Linked DNA regions of Alligator mississippiensis. The protein of the gene in region 1 interacts with the protein of each later gene in a pairwise test. Links are inferred from orthologs where the notes say so. Each region holds a gene or a part of one and is shown in the gene's direction. Other genes may lie near its edges.

Region 1 (7,206 bases):
TTACTCCTGACGTTTAACTTCCACTGACTGACATCACTGCTAAATTTCACTTGAGGTCTTGCGTGGGACTTACACCTGCTGACTCCAAGGTACACTCAGCCAAATTGGATCCCCTGCCTGATGTATATGGTCAGGAGCCCTATTCTGCCCTTAAATGCATGGATGTCCTAAACAATAAAAACATTCCTAGCTCTTACCTAATGCTTTGCATCAGTTGGTCTGAAAGGTGGTTATGAAGGAGGACAGTAGTATCATCTCCATTTCACACCTAAGGAAAGTGAGGCCAGGAGAAGTGAAGTGACATGCCCAAGATCACCCAGGTGGCTAGTGGCAGAGCAGAGAAAAAGAGCCCAGGTATCCCGAGTCCCAGACCAGCACTTTTGTCCACTAGCCCAGTCTGTAAATCCCACCAATGCCAGCAGGAGCTTTGCCAGTGTTTCTGAGGGCAAGGCTGCTGTGATTTCCATCCTTGGGAGAACATTTTCTTCCACGCTTATGCAGCTCATAAGACTGCTGGGGTCCAATCAATAATAAGTGAATGAGTAATGAAGGCAGTATATTTTCATAGATGTTAGGTGTTAGGGTCGGAAGGGACCTCAATAGATCATTGAGTCCGACCCCCTTTTCTCATTCTTGATACAACCCACCCTGGCAGCTCACAGCAGCAAAGGAAAAACAGTGACTTGTTTGACAGACTGGGGCTGACCAAGCTATACAAGCATTATTGTATGCAGGAGACAGTAAAAAATATGAGGCCTGATTTCCAGGGCTCCTGCCCCTGGCTTGCCCCCTCCATCAGTACAGACAGCTGTGTCTCATGGTCCCTGGAGGATTCCCCTCTACAGCAGCATGCTTGGATCTGCATCCTAGGGCAGAGGCATGGCTAAAGGAATGAGGTGGCTAAGTTACTGTTATCCTGCAGACTCTTGACAGCCAGTATAAATGATGGTAACCTCAAGCATTGCTCTATTTATGCGGGGGATGTGCACAATGCCTGGACTTCCCTCTGGATTGAGGGAATTTGAAGATCATTGCAGACTTACAGCTGATGTGCACCAAAGGCAGCTTGTCCTCAGCTCAGGATCCCGGGCTCTTTTGGCAACCAGTCTGGAAAATTCTGATTCTCTCAAGACTTGCGGCAACGGAAGTGCATGACTTTCAATGTCTGCTTAAAATACATAGCAGGGAAGCCAAAATGGGCCAGGGTTTTTTTTTTTTAAATCTCAGGACAGGAGCTGAAGCTTGGGAAGCTGCTGGTGGCAGAGGAAGAAAGTGTTACATCAGACAGAGGTACAAATGCCGCAGCTGCATGAAAGCGTAGTAGCAGCCACAGCAGCAGTGATAGATTGATGTATAAAATTTTGGAGCTAGTCCAAAGTAATTATAATCCCCAACTCCAGAGCTACCTCGATGGCTACTTGGGAGAGGACAACAGAAAATGAATAGCTCTCAGCAGGGAAAAAAAATACATTCCCTACACAGTCTGCTTGCAAAAGCTGTTTAAAGGCTAAGCTGTGATAGGCTCTGCCTTTTCCTTTGCAAGCAATCTAGGTCTGTCATGCTAGGAGCCTGCCAAGCCGTGACAATACGAGAGATTTGAATCATTCATGACTAAGGTTTTTAAATGGCTCATTGAAACACGTTGCAAGGGTTTTCATCATGGGGAGGGCAAAGTTGAAGTTACACGTGTGAGCCTGGGGACCCGAGTCAAAGCACAAACCTGCAGCAGCTGCTTTTTGTACCCAAGAGGAAAAGGCTGGAGGAGATGGTGTGTCTTGATAACATTAAGGTTCGGGGGTCTATTTAGCACAGCCCTCTCTACAGGGGAAAAGATGTGGTCTAAACAAGAACTCTGGCTTAATCCACCTCTAGTTTGCTCTCTGACCTGGGGCAAGTCATATAGGACCCAGCTTCTGCTTGTGCCAATTCCCTCGCCTGGTGCTGGTGCAAAGGGGCCAAGTAGCAGCTCTACCTTGTCATTAGGGAAGTTGGCTGGTGGAAGGAAAATCTCCCCGTAGTGTGAAACAAGCTGGGTGTCAACTTCCCTCCTCCCTTTGGGCATCAGGCAGCATATGGGGGGGGCATTCATAAGAGATTGCAGCTGGGGAGAGCTGCAGGACCCAGGCTATTCCTGGCAGCCAGGTGCCAGGGAGGACAGTGCTGCAGTGTGCTTTACCTTGACAGTCCCTCACTGATCCCAAAATAATGGATCAGCAGAGGTGGTTTAAAGCAGCCTTGGCCTCTGTCCCCCGCCCCAACCCTGGGGCCTGTGCACAGTGAATAAGGTGCAATGAGGAACAGGGTCAGGGCTTCCCTTTTGGGGACCAGGGGCAAAGCTTGCTATCAGGCCCTGGTCTTTGTTAGACAACCATACCCGCCACGGTCCTGGATTTGACAGCTACTAGTCATTGTCAAGGCTACAAGGGCAAGTCGGGGTGCTTTGCACTGCTCTAATGCCAGCCCCGATGATGAACCCAGCTCTTAGCTTAGACTTTACCCGTGTCTCCAACACACTTTTGACTCGCGGCCCCTCCACTTCCTGTCTTTAACATGCATGGGAAAACGCAGAGGCGTATGCAGCAGCATGGGAAAAATGCAAAGGAGCAGTGAGGTTGGGTTTGCTCCCATCCATCGAGCATTTTCTAGGATCACAGAAGAGCGGAGGGTTGTCAGGGCCATCCAGAGGCCATCCAGTCCAGCCCCCTGTCCAAGGCAGCTCAGCTCTGTCACGACCATCCTAGCCAAGGGTTGGAATGAGTAGATTGCGGTGGGGGGCAACCTTTTTGGCAGGCATGCCACCAAGCAGCCTCACACCATAGACAGGGAGAGAAAATATTATTGGGGGCGGGGGTTGAGTGCAGGCATCAGCATGAGCACGACAACCCCCATCGTGCGCTGTGCAGTGCGGCGCACGCGCGGTTAGCCTCTTCTTCCTCAGCCGCGCGGAGCTGAGCGCGCCTGGGGCGCTGGCCTGGCTGCACGCCGAGCGGTGCCGCAAAATGAGTTTGCAGGGGCTAAGACCCCCCAAGCCCCGGCTTTCTGCTGCCTATGCACCACGCTGCTCGCCAGTGCCACTCCGATCTCCTTGCCCTGCCTGCTCTGCTGCTCTGCTTTCTGCTCCCCCCGCCCGGTGCTCCCCTTCTGGATCTGCCATCCTGCTTTCTGCTCCCTCCGCCCGGTGCTCCCCTTCTGCTCTGCTCTCTGCTCCCCGGCTGGTGCTTCGCTTCTGGATCTGCCTCTCTGCTTTCTGCTTCACTGTCTGGTGTCCCCCTTCTGATACGCTGCTCTGCTTTCTGCTCCCCTGATCTGCCGCTCTGCTTTCTGCTCCCCCTACCCAGTGCTCCCCTTCTGGATCTGCCACTCTGCTTTCTGCTCCCCTCGCCTGGTGCTCCCCTTCTGGATCTGCTGCTCTGCTTCCACTCCCTCTGCCCAGTGCTCCCCTTCTGCTCTGCTCTCTGCTCCCCCTGTCTGGTGCTTCCCTTCTGGATCTGCGTCTCTGCTTTCTGCTTCACCGTCTGGTACCCCCCTTCTGATATGCCGCTCTGCTTTCTGCTCCCCCCGTTTGGTGTTCCCCTTCTGATCTGCCACTCTGCTTTCTGCTCGCCCTGCCCAGTGCTCCCCTTCTGGATCTTCTGCTCTGCTTTCTGCTCCCACCGCCCCGTGCTCCCCTTCTGCTCTGCTTTCTGCTCCCCCGTCCGGTGCTCCCCTTCTGCTCTGCCGCTCTGCTTTGGCTTTATTTAATGATTGCTTAAATTTTGTTATTTGAACTTCTTATGTTGCTGGCGTGTCGTGCGCGATACGGAGCGGCCCGTGCCTTTTGCAAACAGCCGATGGCCTTGATTTTTTTGGGTTTTTTTTCTCCTTTCTTTATCGTTGTGAAAAGTTTTCTTTCACACAAGACCGTCATTCTTTTGTTACCAGCTTAAATCAACTCAGCTTGGCGCTGACCGGAGCAAGCAGAGGAATCACATAATTGCACAGCCGGCTCCCAGCCTCGCACACCCCCGGGAGCCCTCCGCCCCGGCCCGCTGACGTCACCGCTGCCACACTCGGCATGGCCCCCGCCGCGCGCCGCTCCCCCCGCTCCCCCCATCCTCGCGCTCCTATTGGCTGAGGGGCGTGCGCGCTGACGTGTACAGGGGAGGAGCCGAGCGCGACCCCGCCCCCTAGCTGCGCGCGCACAGCCCAGCAGGTTGCGTTGCGCCACCGCCACCGTCGCTACAGCCGCCGCCACCGCCGCCGGGCGCTCGGGAGCGGTTGCACGGCGCGCTTCCAGTCGTCAGCCCCGGCCTCGGCCCCGCGCCCGCACCCGCACCGCCTCAGCACCGGCCCCGGCGCCGCCATGTCGGCGGGCGGCGACTTCGGGAACCCGCTGCGGAAATTCAAGCTGGTTTTCCTGGGCGAGCAGAGCGGTGAGCGCCGCACCCCTCCTCCCCCCCCCTCCCTTATTGCACCCCCTCAGCCGTGGGGACTGGGCTGTGCCCGGCGGGGGGGGGCGGGTTTGCCCACATGGGGCTGCGTCCCCTCCCTGCAATGAGGGGGGGCAGGGAGATCCCCCCCCAACACACACACACACACCTCGAGTGAGCGAGCATCTCCTCCACCTTTTGGCAGGGAAGAGATGGGGAGGCCTGGCTTGGCCCCCCCCCCCCCCCCCGCCCTTTGCACGTCAGCAGTGGTGAGTGCTTTTTCACCCCGATTTAATGAGGGGGACGTCGGGGCACGGGGTGCTGCTGCGCCCGCATTGCTAAACACCCCCCGTGCTTCCCACAAGGACGTCGGTGTCGGTGTCACTTCCATCGCCCTCCGCGGTACGAGGGGAGTCAAGCCACGTACGTGGGCCCTTCCCTTTGGCCTGCCTCTTCTCTTTATTTCCCCTTTGTCGCAATAGCCCCCGAGTGACACCCCCCCCCCCACCACGTGAGTCCCGGGCGCCAGCAGCGAGGTGTTGCTCGGCCAGCCGTTTTACGAGGATCTTGAGAGCGGTTCGCGTGCGGAAGACGCTGTCGGTACCAGGTCAGGATCGATCCGATGCCGGCCGCGCTCCTCGCAGGCTCTGCGGCCTCTTTGATCGTAGGGCCGAGATTTACTCTGCGTGCGGCGTGCGTCTCAAAGGGCGGTTTGATCCGTGGCACAGTAACGGATTTGTTCTCTGGGTGCTGCTTGCTGGATCGCGGCAGCTGCTGTCCTCGCCCGTGGGTTTGCGTGCCCGATGGTCTGAATCCTCCTCTCCTGGTAGTGATTCTGGACACATGAGTATGATGATTCCCCTTGAACATACGTGTGTTTGTCTGGGAAGGATGGAGTGATGCAGCAAAGTACTTCCAGTCTCGCAAACACTAGCTCATGTCTACGCACCCAAGCTACTTTTAAGCTCACCAGCTTCTCCGAGCTCGCCGGCTTGCATAATGCTAGCAGAGTAGCAACAACCACCTGCAATCCAGTATGATCTGCCAGATCCACCCAAAAAGCGGGGTAAATGCACAGGCAAGTGGTCCAGGTAGGCAGCGCTGTGCCACCTGGTAGCCGTACCCAAGCTGGCTCCTCTAAAGCTGCTGGGGGCACGCATTCATGAGCCGGTGTCCTTGTAGTATAGGCAATCCTGATGCATTTCTGAGACCTCATTAAACAGAGTTCTTGTGCGTGGCTTGGAAATGCCTGTTTATTCCAGGCTGCTTCTGCTCTCCAAGCGAGATTTGGACAAAGCCATGTCGGCATAAAGATCAGTTGCGTCTAGCCTTAGTAACTAGATAGATATGCTAATGGTGGTCTTCTGTACAAGGAAGAAAAAGCCTGAACATCTCTTGATCAGTGCTGGGAATGTTAACGCTGGAATTTTCCGCCCCTGTTTAGCTTGCTCTCCTTGTCTGTCCTCACTGTGTTGGCGTTGGAGGGTGCAAAGCCTTGCATAACAGCGGCTTTTACAAATCAAGGCGTCCTTTTCTGAAAAAGCTGTTGCCACTGGGATGTTCTGTTCGCTTCCTGTTTCACTGAATGGTTGTCTGCCTGGTTGGAAGGCCGTCATTAAAGGTATCTAGCTGCCACTCGTAGGAAAGCAGAACGCTGCCCTGGCATTGTTTCCTTTCAATCCCTTCAGAAAAGCAAATCAAACGTTACGGGGGTGCTGCTGTTGATTAGCTAGACCAGAATGTCAGGGCTAAGATCATGCCTCTTGTGTTGGCTTCCTACAATCTTTTCAAGAAATGTATGTGCTACTGCTGCCTGGTTCTTAATTGGACCTCGTTAAAGGCTTTCGAGCTGGCACAGGAGAAGCAGCCAAGTGTTCAAAGAGAATGTCTTGCCTTGTGAAATAGGGAATGTTTCTGCCGAATCTATTTTTGTATTTTATTTGGAAAAGTGATCGGCCAACGATGGAAATAGCATCCTTTTTTCTCCTTGGCTGTATCGTGGCAATTCAGTGCAGCTTTCTACCTAAATAAACACGTTTGCTTGCACTGCAGTGATTTTTTTTTTCTTTCTTCTCCAGATTATGCTATGCATTATTGTCAGCAATAATGTGTGTTTTTTTTTCTGAACAAAGAAGGTTTGGGGGCTTCTGATTTAATCTCTGAAATAAAGCCCCCTCTGTCTCCCTGCTTCTTGCATCTCCTCAGTTACTAAAATTTATCTGGCTTTCATTTTTGTTGCATCAACACCTTGAGCCCTGCATGTTGGAGAATGAAAGCTGACACACTGCTGCAGTCGTCCATCCCTTGGAGCCCTCCCCTGCCCATGCCAGTCAGTCGGTGTGTTAGCTGCATGACATAAGGTCACTTGCAGCTTCTTTTGGGATTTACTGCAAATCGCTGGTTCTCAGTGAGAGTATGCTTTTTCTGGTTCAAAACTGGATCGATGAAACCTCAGGTGCTTGCTGTAGATTGATTGCAAACCTGCATTTTATTCCATGGATAGCTAAAAGCACCTCTGTGTGTATCTCATCTCTCTGACTTGCGATGTAAGCTGTGCATTGTAGGGCGACTAGCAAGAAATTAAAAAAAATATTAACAGGGGCTTGCCTTAATTGAATTAACTTCTTCGGTGATTGCAGATTACATAGAGTTTAGTCATTTTAAATATGTTAATCTTTCCTGAAAAGACAGCTTTGTGCTGAGGGATTAAATGCAGCTACAGTAAAATATATATATAATATTCTGATTCCCTTTAGTGTCTTTGATCTTACTTCATGTCAGGTGACTTCCAGCATTT
Region 2 (7,192 bases), on another chromosome or scaffold:
TAGGTAGCATGGTTTGCAAACAGATGCATGTTTAACTGTGACAGTGCAGGACCTTCATATTCACTGCGCCACAGTCTGATCTCACAGGGAATTTATACATGTGGTCTGGAGGGGGGCACTTTAATTAGAGTGGCTCCAAGAGCTGCTATAATTAAAGTGCCTGCAGCGTCATGTATATCAGCATCCCCGTGCTGAAAAATGGCAGTGGGGGAGCTTTAACTAAAGCATGTTGAATGAGCAAACTCCACTGGGTCTGCTCTGATATGCTGTAATTACAGTGTGTTGGAGCAGCCTCCCTGCATGTGTATAGGTGCCCATAGTGGTACAAATTTAGAATGACTCTATTGAAGTCAATAGAACTAATTAGACCAGTGTAAATCTGGGGTGAGATCAGAAGCTGGCTGGCCCAGTTAGTTTGGCTAGAGAATGGCTAGGGGATTTTAGCCACTCTCTGTAGGGCACGTGGAACTCATTGGCAGGAAAAAAATAACTGGCAATATATAAATCTTGAAGTGTTTAATGTAGCAGGTGAGTCAATGTTTTCTGGTTTAGGCCAAACTGAAACAGATACGCCTCTAACAAAATTCTTGCAACATTTTGAAATTAAAAACAAAAGAAACTTTGGTTAATTGCAGTAGCTGATTACATCACTTTTTATTTTTCAGATCCAGGCAAGTTTGTTAAAAGGAAGAGGATTAGGGTGGTACATCAGAATTCACATGACAAATACAGCCTTTCCATGTGAGCCCTGTGGAGTCTGGGGTTGGCACATGATCCCTAACAAAATATTAGCCAAGGCTGCCTAATGACTGTGAGGCTAAATTCACAGACATTAAAGACTTTATTAAAGGGATCTATATGCTCTCATACATACCAAAGTGGATCAGGACAACTATAGATTGGTGGAAGATAAAAGTGCTTGAATAGGCCCTACAGCTAGCTGTAGGCAAAGCCATTGTTTTATATTCTAATCCTCCCATGTGCTCAAACAGGTAATTGTTTTTACTGTTTGGGTTTTATCTAGCAATTTAGTACCAATTATTTTGATGGAGTTGCAATTCTGAGCTTCAGCAAAGGAGGGTGAAGCAGTGACCAAGCTGGACAAGCTCTCCCAGTGACTTTGAGAGGGCTGAGCTGTGCTCCCAATTAAAGTTGTGGAGAGTTGGAGTAACTCCACTGACTACAGTAGAGATACTCACACTGGTGCAACTGAGAGCAGAGTTTGGCTCAGGCTGTTTATCCTTTCATTGTGTCTTATAAGTTAATTAATTCTAATTGGGAGAGTAATTACCACATTACTGGGTCTGTTTACTGTTTTTGGGAACATTCAGCCTTTCATTGTAAGGGACTTTGCCACATTAGTTGACTACATTTCCCCACTGCGGAGTGCCCCCTTTTTCAAGTGGTATTAAGATGGTAAGGAGGCTGCTTGTGCAGCACTGTGTATTTCCCTTTGCATGAGCCCATCAAGTCTTACGCAAAAATCTATATTAGGTGCAGAGAAGCCCCCATTTTTGTAGTACCTGAGGGCCTCAGTCTAGACTGCTAATGCCTCACTAGAACCCTAGGAAGGAGGAAAATACTTTTATTCCCAAATTATAGCTGGAAAACACTATGCAGCCACTGAGTGTGGATTTGAAATAATAGAAAAAAGAAGAGGTTGTAGTACTCCTGTCAGCATGTAGAAGACTTACTGGACACACACATGCACTCACACACATTCTATAGCTAGTGAGTAAAATTATGATAATAGGTTTGCTGTCATGAACAAATGTACTTGCTAACTTCTTTTTAAGGTAGCTTTTGTAAAATAATATGCATCCTTTCCAGCTGTCTGTCCAGGAATGACCATGACCCACTTCTGCACAAGCAGTGGCATGATTCTTCATCTAGCTGTTGTAAGATACTCATTTCTGGTGATCTGTTCTACAAGAACTGGACATTCAGGACATGGAACTGCAAGTGAGCTAGGAATAGTGATTTCCTCCACCATAGATCAGTTAAATGAATAAATATGAGAACCATGTCTGATAGTCTGACTGGCAAGTTGGGTTTGCAAGTGTGGTTTGCAACCCTTTGAAGTCCAGACCCACATAGCCCAGCTGCATAGATCCAGGAGTACTACTGCTATTCTGAAATGCTAATCATGAACTGTCTGCTGTATTTTACAACATAATACCCTGCAGTGAATATCTGCTACAGAAACTTGTCCATGTTTCTATTGCTTGACATGTTTGGCTTTTTTTCCCCTTCCCCATTCTAGTCACTTGCAGGCTTGTTCTCAATTACAGCTCTTACGTAGTCAACACATCTGAGCATGTGCACAACTTTAAATAGATGAGTTCTGTTGAACTGAGTGGGACTACTCATGTGATTATAGTTATGCATGTGCTTTAAATGTTTTTCCAGATCAGGGTCTTAAAAGGCAACATGAATCTTTATTACCTATTTGTGGGAGTAATTCCATCTCACTTGCTGTCATTAATCACCTTTGCCCCTTGTATCTGTACCTATTCTGAAAAAATTTAAAAAATGTAAAGATCAGAGAAAACAAACATGACCAAACAAATAGCTTTCCATAAGCTGTTTACATTTCTTCTTTTTATTGTTGTCCCCAACTGTCTCCCATGCAAAGCTTCCTGCAATTTCCTTTTATATACTCTGTCTAGATTGTAACCTCCCTGGAAGCAAGAACCTCATCTTTTTACTTCCCTGCTTATTCACTTGAGAGAGAGATGAGATCAGTGACAGAAGAATTAATTATATTAAAAGTAGTAATATAGCAATTACCTTCTGAAAGATAAGAGTCTCAGCCAAGACAATTCAGGGGTGTTTTTTTAATTTAAAATATTCAAATTAGAAAATAAGTACTTTGAGTGAGCAAAAGTTAGAAATGTGCGAAGCTTTGCAGTACAATAACTAGCAGAGAGTGGGTAGTTAACTGTATTTAGTCTAACGTCAGGCAGAAGGCAGGGCACGGCAGGGTGGCACCTTACAGATTGATTCATTCAGAGAAGCATAAGCTTTCACAGGCAACAGGCCTACTTCATCAGATGCTATGAAGGCATCATTTAAATAGGTTGTCACCTATAAAAGTGTGTGCCTCCGAATGTATCAGTCTCTGGGGGCCACACCCTTCCGTCAGTGCAATAACTGATTGATTCTTGTAACCAAGTAATTCTATCATGATGGATATAACACCTTTCATTTTGAAACAAACAAAAGCCAAACTCTCGAGAAGCATGCACACCTTGAAAAGCAAATGCACTCTCTCATCTTGGCTATCTTGGTTTTCCTTTCCCTTTCTGGCCATCTTCCCTCCTGTGTTGTTTTCACTGGGATTATTTGACCCCAGCAGTCTTTCCTGATCAGAGAAAGGGGGGGCCCTCAACTTCTGTGAATCCCTCTTTCTAGCTCGATCTTTAAACCCTTATTGATGTGTGTGGTATTCACCTCCATAGCAGTCACCTTGATTTCAAGAGTTACGCATCTGAATAAGGGCTTGAAAGTTCATATTAGGCCCTGAATGCAAAGACCAATGCCCACCAGTAGCCCCACAGGAGCAAGCAGTTACATGGGGATAATCTGGTTTCAGAAACCAGTGTCTGTCTTTGCAGGGGCCATTCTCTGGAGGTGGGGGGTACCTTTTATCGAATCGATAGCATGCTTGGGATAAGACAGACAAGTTTCTGAATGCAAGGTACTCTTCATGGAGGGGTCTTCTTGTGACTGTAGTCTTCAGAAATCATTTTTCTTGTTTGTGTATAAAATGGCCAGGCTTGCTAGTCTTCATGAATGAAGAAATCAGCCAGAGTGACTATGTGCTTAGCCTGACAAACACTTCTTCAGGCTGGAGGTTGGCCATTGGTGCTCATTGAATAGGCAGGCATGTCCACCTGGCCTAGCGGCAGCCCTCAACCCACTAACTCCCCTCATCCCCACGGTTTCTAGCGGCCTGGAGGAGGAAGGGGAGCGGCCCTGACACGGTCCAGGGCACCGCTGCTCGTGGCGTCTCCCAGAGGAGAGAGAAGCCGCGGCGGCCGCGCCCTTGAGCCGGGGGCAGCTACGCCCTTCCTAGCCGGGAGACCCCGACGCTGCGGGGCGGGGGCGCGGTGCATTGTGGGGCGGGCGGGGGGCGGGGCTCGGCGGGACTACGATCCCCAGTAGCGCGCGCGGCGGCGGCCGCCGTTTGAATGACTGCGCTGCGCTCCGCGGCGGCGGCGGCGGCCGCGGGCACCGGGCGGCTGCGTGAGGGGCGAGCCCAGCCCATGGCAGCCCCGCGGCGGTGAGCGCTGCCCCCGCGATGGCGCTGGCCATGGAGGAGGACGAGTACGCGCGGCTCGTGATGGAGTCGGAGCCCGAGTGGCTGCGGGGCGAGATCAAGCGGCTCTTCCAAGAGCTGGGCGAGACGACGCGCGAGAAGATCCAGGCGGCCGAGTACGGGCTGGCCGTGCTGGAGGAGAAGCAGCAGCTGAAGCAGCAGTACGAGGAGCTGGAGCTGGAGTACGAGACCGTGCGCACCGAGATGGAGCAGCTCAAGGAGGTGGGCGCCGCGCCCGCCCCGAGCCGGGAGCCGGGGCAGGACGGGCGAGGCTCGCAGCCTCGCGCTGCGGCGGGGGGAGGCCGGGGCGGCGAGCTCCGCCGGGCTTGGCACCTCTGCGGGGCTCCTTGGGTTAAAAACCAACCCCCGCGGAGGGCGCGGGTCCGCTCGGCTGCGCGGGGAGGCGGCCGGGGCCGGGCTGGACAACGCCCACGGCCGCCGGTGACAGCGGAGAGCCGGCCCGGCCCGGCCCCGCGGGGAGGCTGCAGGCATTTCGCTGCCGTCACACCGGGCTGCAGCCAGACTGCTCCTCGGGACCCCGGGCCGCTCGGGTCCCATTTTGTTTGGTTCCGCTGGTTTTCAGCTCACATCCGTTTTTAAAAACAAACTCAAAATGAGCCCCGTTCAGACCGAAGCAGCTGAGCACGCAGGCCCCTGGCCTGCTTTCCTTGAACCTCTGAGCAAACCATTCCTCTTCCTCTTGCCCAGACTGACTGATGAATGATTAGGGATCAGCATTTTGTTACGCTGAGGTGTTGGTAGTGGGCAAGGACTGCGGCAGGGGGTGCCTTTCATTGGGCCAACTGGACGCAGACGAGCTTTCAGCTGCAAAGCATTCCTCATCCCAGCCCTCGCAACGGTCCATTCCTCTTGCATAACTCCTGGACCATCACAGGGCCATCGTGGTTACAACATCATTCAAACGTTATCTAATGCTGGTAGTAAGAAGCCCTAGATACATAACCTGGGTAGGTTTAAAGTTAAATGTATTTTGCATTGGGGGTTTGTACAGCTGTACCTGAGCTGATTTCAAGTTGAAGCTGGTACATGTGGAGCAGCCCTCAAAGAACGCAAGTTTGATGAGGAGGTGAGGGAGCCACTAAGGAGCCTCATAAAGAGGATTCATTCTGATCTTTTCTTTGTTCCCTTGTAGCTTCTTCCATCCTTGCAGAATAACCATACCTACCCCTTACATAGTCCTTTATATCACAGTAGTCAGAGGAGACAGTCTGCTGTCGCTTTACAGAGTGGGTGGGGAAGCCAAGGCACAGAGCAGTGAAGTGATTCCCACAAGGTGACCCAGCAGGCTGCGGGGGAGTCGGCAATAGGACCTGCCTCCTGAGTTCTGTCTGCACTAGAGCAAACCTGTTGGGCTGGGCTGTGGGAGATGCTGTAGGATTCAGGTTAAAAAAGCCTGGCTGAAGAATTGCAGCATGTTGTTGAAATCTTAAGAAGCAGAGACAAAAAATCATGGTTGCCAATTCACTCCTCTTGTGTTTGATTTTTTTGTAGGATTTTCATGTGTCTGTCCATCCTGTGGTAATTATCTCAAGCCCTTGCATGCAGACAGTTCCAGGAACAGCTTGAGGACTCTGCTGGTCAGGGGAAAATGTAGTTGCTGTAGTTTTCTTGTGTTGCGAACCTGGAATCTGGAATTTGTTAGGATGTACTAACTCTCCAGCAGACACAAGTGGAACAGTCTTGGAAGGGGATTTTGTTTTGTTTATGTAACTTTTCGTTTTCCCAGGCTTAACTAGAAGTGTTTTACACATAAGATCTGCCACATGGCAAGCTTGAATTTAGAGGGAATTAATCTTTGGGTTATATAAGCTTGCATCAGAGTAAAGCAGGGTTTTGGGAGAAAAATGTAGGCCTCAAAAATGTAGGTCATCTTTCAATCCCCTGCTCTAATTGCACCTTCACACTCACTTTCATAACATATCAAATCAGTGGTATTTTTCTATAATTACTTTTGACAGGAGCCCTCAGAGATTCAGGGTGCTCCTGGCCTTGTGCTAGGTGATGTTTCAGTGCATAGCTAGACAAGGTCCCAGCCCAGAAGGAGTGACTTTCATCTACTTGCAATTTTTTTGAGTGCAGTAAAGTGTCCCTCATGATGACAGCTTACAGCACAAGTAAATGGGGTGTGTGCAGCCTTCTGAGGAACAGTCTGCCCAGGGTACAAGCTATTCTGATGCTGTTCCTGGAGGTTTGATAACCTATGTGGCCAGTATGTTCCTAAAGCATAGGGTGTTACTAATGGAGCTGCATGATTGCTTCTTTAGTTTTATCCCTAACTTGTATACAGCTGCCAAGGCATTTTACTTCCAGAACTGTACTTCAGAGTATTCAGGGTTGTACAGACATTTGGCATTTGCACTTCAATCCTTTCCTCCATCCTTCCTTTCCCATTTATAGTGAAGGCTGGAGCCCTGGGTGAACTTTCATCAACATAGTTTTGAGCGTGGTGATACAAAACCTGTTCCTGTGTGCAAATTTGTTCTGCATTTCTCTTTTGCTCCACTTTGATTTATTATTCCATAAAAAGTTAGAGAGATTACTGACTGAAAAGTACTTTAGGGGTAAGATCACAGTTTCTGTGAACTGCAATCCATTTTATGCTTTTCTGGGACAGTTAAAGCTATGTGTGTGATTTATTTCTTTGGACTCTATGGGGAAAATACCTGTTGTGGTTAATTATTGCATCACCTGAAGAAAACCAAACAGGTTATATTACAAGTTGACAAAAATAAGTAGCTTAATGGACCTTCTTTGGCAGGATGCTACAAGCCTTTATCTTGAAAGGAACTAAGTAGTTGTTACTTTGAATTGGATCACTCCTCCTGAGTTAGGGGCCTGCAGGATCGACTC
Region 3 (7,344 bases), on another chromosome or scaffold:
CCACCCTAAGGCCATACCCAGGAAGTGTGCCCACCAGATAGCTTAACCCAGACATCCAGCCCCATGGCATATAACTGCTATGAGTTCAGCACATGCAAATGTGAGGAATGTTGCCATCTGTGTTTTTGGAAAACAAGCTGTGTTCACATAGCAAGGAAGGAACACCTTCACAAGCATGCCAGGTGACCAGCTAACACTTCTGGAGTTCCCAAAACACCTGTATGGAAAGAGTTTAAGTAAAACATGCTTGCTAATGCAGGTTTAGACAGCTCTTTTCCTGGTTTACGCATGGCTTGAAGCAAAGCCAGGACCTACGGCAGAGTGATCTGCTCAGGCATCTGCTGTTCCTGATAGAGTAGTTAGTGCAGAAGAGACACCTAGTCAAGTAGCTATTGTCTGTAAGGGGTAGGGCTATAAGTACACTGCTGTACCCTCTGTTCGTCCAGGCCATGTGCTGTTTCCCCCACCCCCTGCTACACACACAAACCTTTCAAAGGCCAACACAGACACATCACTACCACACTTTCCAAACATTCTGGAGCACATACCTCCCATTTACTTGAGACCAAAGTTCAAAGTCCTGACCCTAATCTACAAGGCATTTCACGTCCTTGGACCTAGTTACCATATAGTCAATCCTGCCCTGCAGTCTTCCATGTCAGGTACACTCCATGGGGATGACCCAGAAGAAAGAGGATGGTCTTGTGGTTAAGAAGTGGCATGGGCTCTCAGGAAATCTGGGCTTAAGTCTCCATTTTGCCACCAATTCCCCATGTTACCTTGGATTAATCGCTTAAGCAAAGCGCATCTCAGCTTGAGAAGGGAACTTCCCTACCCACCAGGGTGCTCTGAGGAACATGCATTAGCTGTTATGCGTTGTTGGTTGTAGTCATGTTGGTCTAAGGACATAGGCAGACAAGGTTATTTGGGTAGATGTGATATCTTTTAATAGACCAACTAACTAGTTGGAAAAATTATTCTTTGCAAACTTTTGAGCACAAACACCCTTCTTCAGGCATATCGAGTCTGATGGTGAACTGCGTGCTCTCCTGGGTAGAATAGAAGCCAACATGCAAAATGTAGGTCTGTGAAAATGCAGAGGTGCAGAGGTGGATCTTACTTAGCTGTTATGAGGTGCTCAGGTTCTAATGTGTCCTGTAGGATGGTCAGAACATTGCTGGTGGCAAGACCCGGGCTGTGTTCATCTGTCAAAGATCAGTCTGACCCCAGACACAAAATTCTTCTAACCCAGCTGCATTTCTTCAGTAAACCTTCCCCAGAATCGATCCTGTGGAGAAAAGACCTAACACACAAAGTCACTCTCCTCTGCCCCCACAGAGGCTGGAAGGGAAAAACAACTTTTGGCCAGGGCTTTTGTGTGGCTCAAATACCACAGAGAGCTGTTACATCAAAGCTCAGGTAAACTGAGACAAAGTAGCTTCTTAACACTGACCACAATTTGCTTTCCTTAGGGATAGAAGTGTCTGGAAATAAAGTGCATGTTTGATTGCATTGGGCTCATCGCAGCATTCCCGACAGATGCTCTCACCCAGCTGACACATGGAGCTCATTTTAACCGGAATCAGAATAAATTATAGGCCAAGATTTTCCAGCCTCCACAATCATCAATAGATTCAGCTGCTCTTTGGAACAACCCTCAGTCCCAAGAGCATGCAACAAAGGCTGCACTTTAGGGGTAAGAATAAAACCTCCAAGGTTTCCACGTGGGAGCAATCTGCTTGGGTGCTCCTCAGGAATGGCCCCAAAAGATGCTGAAGTCTGGCTGAACACAACACATTTTAACACCGCAGGCTCTATGAACAACTGCTGAACTGAGCAGCTGCTGTATTTGTCTTACCAACAGTTGTGTTCAGCCATGTAACACAGTCTAGGAAGGCAATGTGGTGAGGGATAGGGATTTATTATTTACTATTGCTTACGAGAACTAAGGGCCACAAAATGAAACTAGTAGGTAGCAAGTTTAAAACTAACAAAAAGATGTTCTTTATTACACACAGAGTGCCATTAGAGTGTGGATCTCCTTGCCACCAGATTGTTGTGCGTGCTGACAGTTTAGCCAGGTTCAAAAAGAGATTGGATGCTTTCTTGGAGGAAAGGGGCAGCAGTCGCTATTGAGCACAGGAGTGAGGGGCACCATCCGAATCAGACCTTCCTAGGCCCTAAATGCTGGAGGCTGCAAGTGGGAGAGCAACAGTGGGGAAAAGCCCCTGGTCATACCCTCATCTTTTGCTACCCACTCTCTGCCACTGCGTGACAGGCCTTTTTGACGTGCCTAGCGAATCATGGGGTTGAGCCCATCAAGGAAGAGCTTTTCACCTTCCTTAGTGGGGAAGCTACTGGAGACACATCAACTGAGTTCAGGGGAAAACTAAAGAGAAAACAGGGACTGGAGTCACGTCACAGGTTCAAAACAAGTGCTCCGAGGGGGGACACTAAGCAGAGCACACCAGCCAGTGCCCACTGGCCTTCAAACACATCCTGGGAGCCAGTGGACACTGCATACTGAAACTCTGCTCGGATACATGAATGGACAAGGGACAGGAAAGCAGCCCCACAGTCCCCAGGAGTCATCCCAGCCAGTCTCCTTCCTGGTCAGATAAATTGCGAGTTTAGCCAGGGCCAGAAGGAGGTTCATCAGGAACCTCCGGGCACTTGGTGGGGCCAGAAGACTGGACAAGTCAGGTAAATTTTCTATCCAGTGAATGGCAGCTCTTAAATTTTTAACATACACTCCATCCTTGATGAAGCTGAAGTTGGTTCCTTATTCCCAGTTCCTTATTCCCAATTCCTGTTTTTTTCAAAAGTAATCTTTACACAATTAAAAGTTTCTGGTAAGGGATTTGATATGCTAAAGAATTAGAATATAATAAAAAATGTATATTTACTAATACAAATGTAAAATAAGATTATGTACCAAGTATATAGCCTTGAATAAACAGCTGAGATTAGGCTGAGATTATGGGGGAAAATCCTTTTAGACTCACCCCAAAACACACATCTCCATCCCTGGGGGATACTTTTGAATACGTCACCACCGGGGGACTTCTGCCACCGGGGGACTCTCCCAAAGAAGACTGGGCAGAGTCCTGCCCAACCTGAAGGTCGGTTTCTGCGCTGCTGCCTGATCCCCATCACATGCTGCTGTCCACCCCTGGAAAAGTCATGACAGGTGCTTATCCAAAAATCCTCATATTGGCCTAGTTTTTTGTCTAAGACTGCTGCACATTTAATAGGGGGGAAAAACCAAGAAAAAACCTAGTGTAATGTTTAACATGGTTGAAACCTGAATCAAGAAGTCAAATAATACAACGATGTCCCAAGTCAGCGAAGTAGGCTCCATCCTCATAGCAACAGGGTTTCCAAAAAATTCGTATTTCTACATACATGGGCCCCATGAGCTTGAAGTTGGTTCCTTCTTCCCAGTTCCTTTTTCAAAGCTCATCTGCACACAACTAAAGATTGTTAACAAGGAATTAGGCGACAGAGTTAGAATTGCGTCAGAAATATAGATTTATTAATAACCAAGGATCCTGGTTTTCTCCAATTTAAAAAAAATCCCCAATTTTCAGTTTAAAAACAGTAACCCCAAAACCACATTTTTCCATGATCAAAATGAAACACTATATATAAAAACATATATATATATAAAAATACCACATATATTAAAATGAAACACTACATATATGTGTGTATATACACGCACATACATATACACCACTAATATACATAAACCCCACTAATAAATGTGTGCGTGTGTATACAGAGAGAGAGAGTGGTGTTTTGATCATGGAACAATGTGGATTTGGGGTTACTTTTTTTTAACTGAAAATTGGGGATTTTTTTAAAATCCGAGAAAACCAGGCTTTCCTGCTAACAATAACAACGTAAAGATGCAGGCTGGGTGGTGGAGCCGTGATCTCATTCGACATTTGTACTAGCAAATCTACACCGCCGGTGACGCCCCAGCTGTTTGATCTGCCTGGTTCCTCACGAAGAGCCTGAACGTCGGTGGCAGAGGCGATATCTTTCATTAGACCAACTAGACAATTGCAAAAAAAAATGTCTGTATTAGCAAGCTCCCGACTTCAACCTATATTACTAACAGCCGGTCACTGCGGAAAGGGCTCGGGGAAAGGAACCAGCTTCGGGCTCCTCCATCCTCGGCTGCCCCAAGGCGGCGGCGGCGGGAACAGGGTCGCTCCGCGGCGCTCTACGTGTATCCCGGCCTGTGCCGGCGCGGCCACGTGACGCGGCGTCGCTCCCGGATTGGGCAGCGCGGGCAGACGCCCCCGGCCGGCCCCGCCCCGCTGTGCTGTGCAGCGCTCTGCCGGCCGGCCAGGCGGGGCAGGCGGCGGCGGCGGCGGCGGAATGGCCGAGTTGGGCGGCGGGGTCCGCGAGCGCATCCTCTGCCTCTTTGATGTGGACGGGACGCTCACGCCGGCTCGCCAGGTACCGGGGCTGCACGCGGGGAGGGAGACCCCCTGTGCCCGGCCTTTGCCGCGGGCCGGCCAGGGCAGGGGCATCGTGCTGGTGTCCGGCCGGGCTCTGCGCGGCTTCCTCGTGGGGAAGCAGGCTCGGGCTAGATGCCAGGGTTTGAATGACGCTTTGACTCTTGGGGGGGGTCTGCAAAAAAAAAATAAATAAAAAAATTGGGCTGCCCGTCACGATGCCCTGATAAAATCGGAGACCCCCCCCCCTTCCCCTTTATGATTTTTAAATCTTACAGGGGGCTCTTGTGTCTTATAGGGCCCTGAGCTCCCCTGTTACTCAAACCCTGCTAGATGCCACCCTGAGGTCCCTGCCACCCCATTTTCTCTGAGCCCCTGTGATGGGGGAGGGCAGGAGCCAAGCAGGGCTGGACCTCAGAAGCTGCAACCGGGCCCCCACACGTGCCATCCCCTGCGCTGAGAGCTACCCAGAGAGCCTGTGACATTTCCCTCTTTGGAGGTTTTGAAGCCACAGGCAGACCAAGCCTTGGCTGGGATGATCTAGTCGGCGCTGGTCCTGCTTGGGACAGGGGGTTGGGCTAGATGCCCTCCTGTGGTCCCTTCCAGACCTCGTCTTCTAGGAGTCATCCCTGCGCCACTCCGGCCAAGCTAATCCAGGCCCCACTGCCCTCTGCTGCGTCTTCGTCCTGAGCTAGCTGGACCCAAAGGCGGCCGGATGCTGCTGCAGGCCCTGGCTCTCATGGGGGCAGCTGCTTCTGAGGGCAGAGGCACATGGAGCAGCTGCCATCTCAAGCAGAGATCCCTCAGGGGTGCCAGCCCCGTGTGCCCACATAGCCTTGCACCGCAGAAGCAGGAGGTTGGCTGTTATGGTTCCCCTGCTTTTCTTTTGGCCCGTTAGGGCGGTAGGTTGCATTGTGTCAGGGTGGACGGCAGTCTTATGTGGAGTTTAGATGATGGTTGTATGGGATGGTTTGGATAGGGAAGATCCTGCCTCAGGCAGGTGTTGCACTAGGTGACCTTTGGAGGTCCCTTCTAGCCCTGCTCCTCTATGATTGCATGAACTGCTTCTCGCATGCAGCCCCAGAGAGACTCGAACCCGCTTGCTAAGAGCACAAGCGAGGGAGGATGCTCTTGGGGATACCAAAGGGAGGAAATGAGGCCATGTCTTCTGTGACCTGCATGGTTTCTCATCCCCTCTTACTGCCGCCCAGAGGTCGGCACCCTTTAGGCACACCTGGAACCAGACTGGTGCCGGGTTTGCGCTTGCATGGCTCTGAAGCTGGTACTATCTGCACATGCAATGGTCAAATGGGCCTGGCAGGGCGAACTCTCTCCCCTGCATCCCAGTTGTTTTGTTTCTAAGGGCCTCAGCAAAGCAGGCCTCTGCTGAAGTAGAGAAGGGTTCCCTTTCTGTTGGTTGACAGCAGTGTGAGAGTGTTATGCAATGGGCAGCCTGCAGCATCTGCTTGGTTTTCTAGGGAGGAAAGGGAAGCCTGCCCTCTGCTCACAGCCTCGTGAAAGCTGTCTGTGGTACTTGCTTAACCTGTTACCATAGTGCCTAAGGCTCACCCTACTTAATATGTTGATCCAGGAAGTAGGGAAGTGCTGTGGTGCCTATTTAATAGAGAAGCAACTGAGGGCACAGACGGAGTCATGGTCACCCAGGGAATCTGTGTTCGAGAAGTGGTTTGAACTCTGGTCTCTTTCAAGTCTGAGGCTAGGGCCCTAGAGCACTGGGGGATGGAAGATGCTGGCATCTTGTGAGGGAGGAATGGGAGCCGGGCTAGTGAATCCAGGTGGAGAGCCTGGAAGCACCTAGCTCTTCCAAAATAATGCTTCCTGCACCCCCACATCCTTTCATCCATTGCCCTTCCTAGATGTCTCACCCTTGCAGCTACAGGCCAGCTGATCTCCACCCTACTATGGGTTGCATGTAGACCCACATATGCCTTGGCCTCGTGCAGCCCTTTTGTGACTGTTTACCCATCTGTACATTCTGGCCCGGTCCATCTTTGAAGAACTGAATCTGCAAAGATCTGTGTGATCCCTTTCCCATGCCTGCAAATGCATTGTGCTCGCAGCACACAAGTGTTCCCAGTGTTTCACTTACATATTAAATATATTTGGATTTGACTTGTGATTTGCATAGTAGGCACAAGAGCAGTGACCAGCACAGTGAAGTCCTGCTTCCTGGTGGGGACCTTCCCTTGCTGGCTGCCAGTGAATCGCACCACCATGTGTTTAGCTGGGCAAAATATGGCTCACTTCTTGACCTGTTTCAGTTTGAGTTTGATTGATGCCAATGTGGATGGTCCCAAAAGAGGATCAGGCAGTCTTCTCCTTCCTGTGTCATGGCCCTTGGAGAATTCTCTGAATCCACTGCTTTGGGGAGGTCAGCTGGGAACTGTGGGCTGCCAACCATGGCAAAATGATGTAGAACAACAGTAGCATGGAAACAATGCAAAACCATGAGAGGTTGGAGCATGGGTCAGAATGGAAACAGTGAAATGTTTGTGTTTAGACCAGCCTCATCCCACCAGTTCAGTTCTCTAGTGCAGACATGGCCTGGAGGGCTCAATATAATGCAGCAGGATAGTGACAGTGCTCTTGTCCCCCTCATTTAGCTGTAGCAAATTAAGATGTTTTTGGTGTTTTGGGGCACTGTGCCTGGTAGTTGTCAGAGAGGGTTGTTCATGCTGTTTTTAGATTAGATTAGATTAGACCAACGCTTTTATAGGATGGCTTAGTCAGGGATAATCCTGCCTTGAGCAGGGCATTAGATTAGATAACCTTCTGAGATCCTTTTAGCCCAGTTTTCTGTTATTCCTTACCTTGGGCAGGGGTCTTGTGAGGCTAGATATGTGTCTGTAAGGCT

What was found. The genes of interacting proteins can lie anywhere in the genome.
Region 2: the proteins of RAB6A (region 1) and BICD2 interact in binary tests that used the Homo sapiens proteins (3 or more experiments, as listed by UniProt). The link is inferred for Alligator mississippiensis from reciprocal best matches to the Homo sapiens genes RAB6A and BICD2.
Region 3: the proteins of RAB6A (region 1) and PMM1 interact in binary tests that used the Homo sapiens proteins (3 or more experiments, as listed by UniProt). The two-hybrid records come from large-scale screens. The link is inferred for Alligator mississippiensis from reciprocal best matches to the Homo sapiens genes RAB6A and PMM1.

The regions. Positions count from the first base shown.
Region 1 is NC_081824.1:467,028,578-467,035,783, forward strand, and holds the start of RAB6A (ras-related protein Rab-6A), read left to right. Parts: upstream 1-4,192; 5' UTR 4,193-4,342; coding exon 4,343-4,412; intron 4,413-7,206. UniProt on the Homo sapiens protein: The small GTPases Rab are key regulators of intracellular membrane trafficking, from the formation of transport vesicles to their fusion with membranes.
Region 2 is NC_081835.1:25,351,602-25,358,793, forward strand, and holds the start of BICD2 (protein bicaudal D homolog 2), read left to right. Parts: upstream 1-4,180; 5' UTR 4,181-4,303; coding exon 4,304-4,543; intron 4,544-7,192. UniProt on the Homo sapiens protein: Acts as an adapter protein linking the dynein motor complex to various cargos and converts dynein from a non-processive to a highly processive motor in the presence of dynactin.
Region 3 is NC_081827.1:97,120,574-97,127,917, forward strand, and holds the start of PMM1 (phosphomannomutase 1), read left to right. Parts: upstream 1-4,332; 5' UTR 4,333-4,389; coding exon 4,390-4,470; intron 4,471-7,344. UniProt on the Homo sapiens protein: Involved in the synthesis of the GDP-mannose and dolichol-phosphate-mannose required for a number of critical mannosyl transfer reactions. In addition, may be responsible for the degradation of glucose-1,6-bisphosphate in ischemic brain.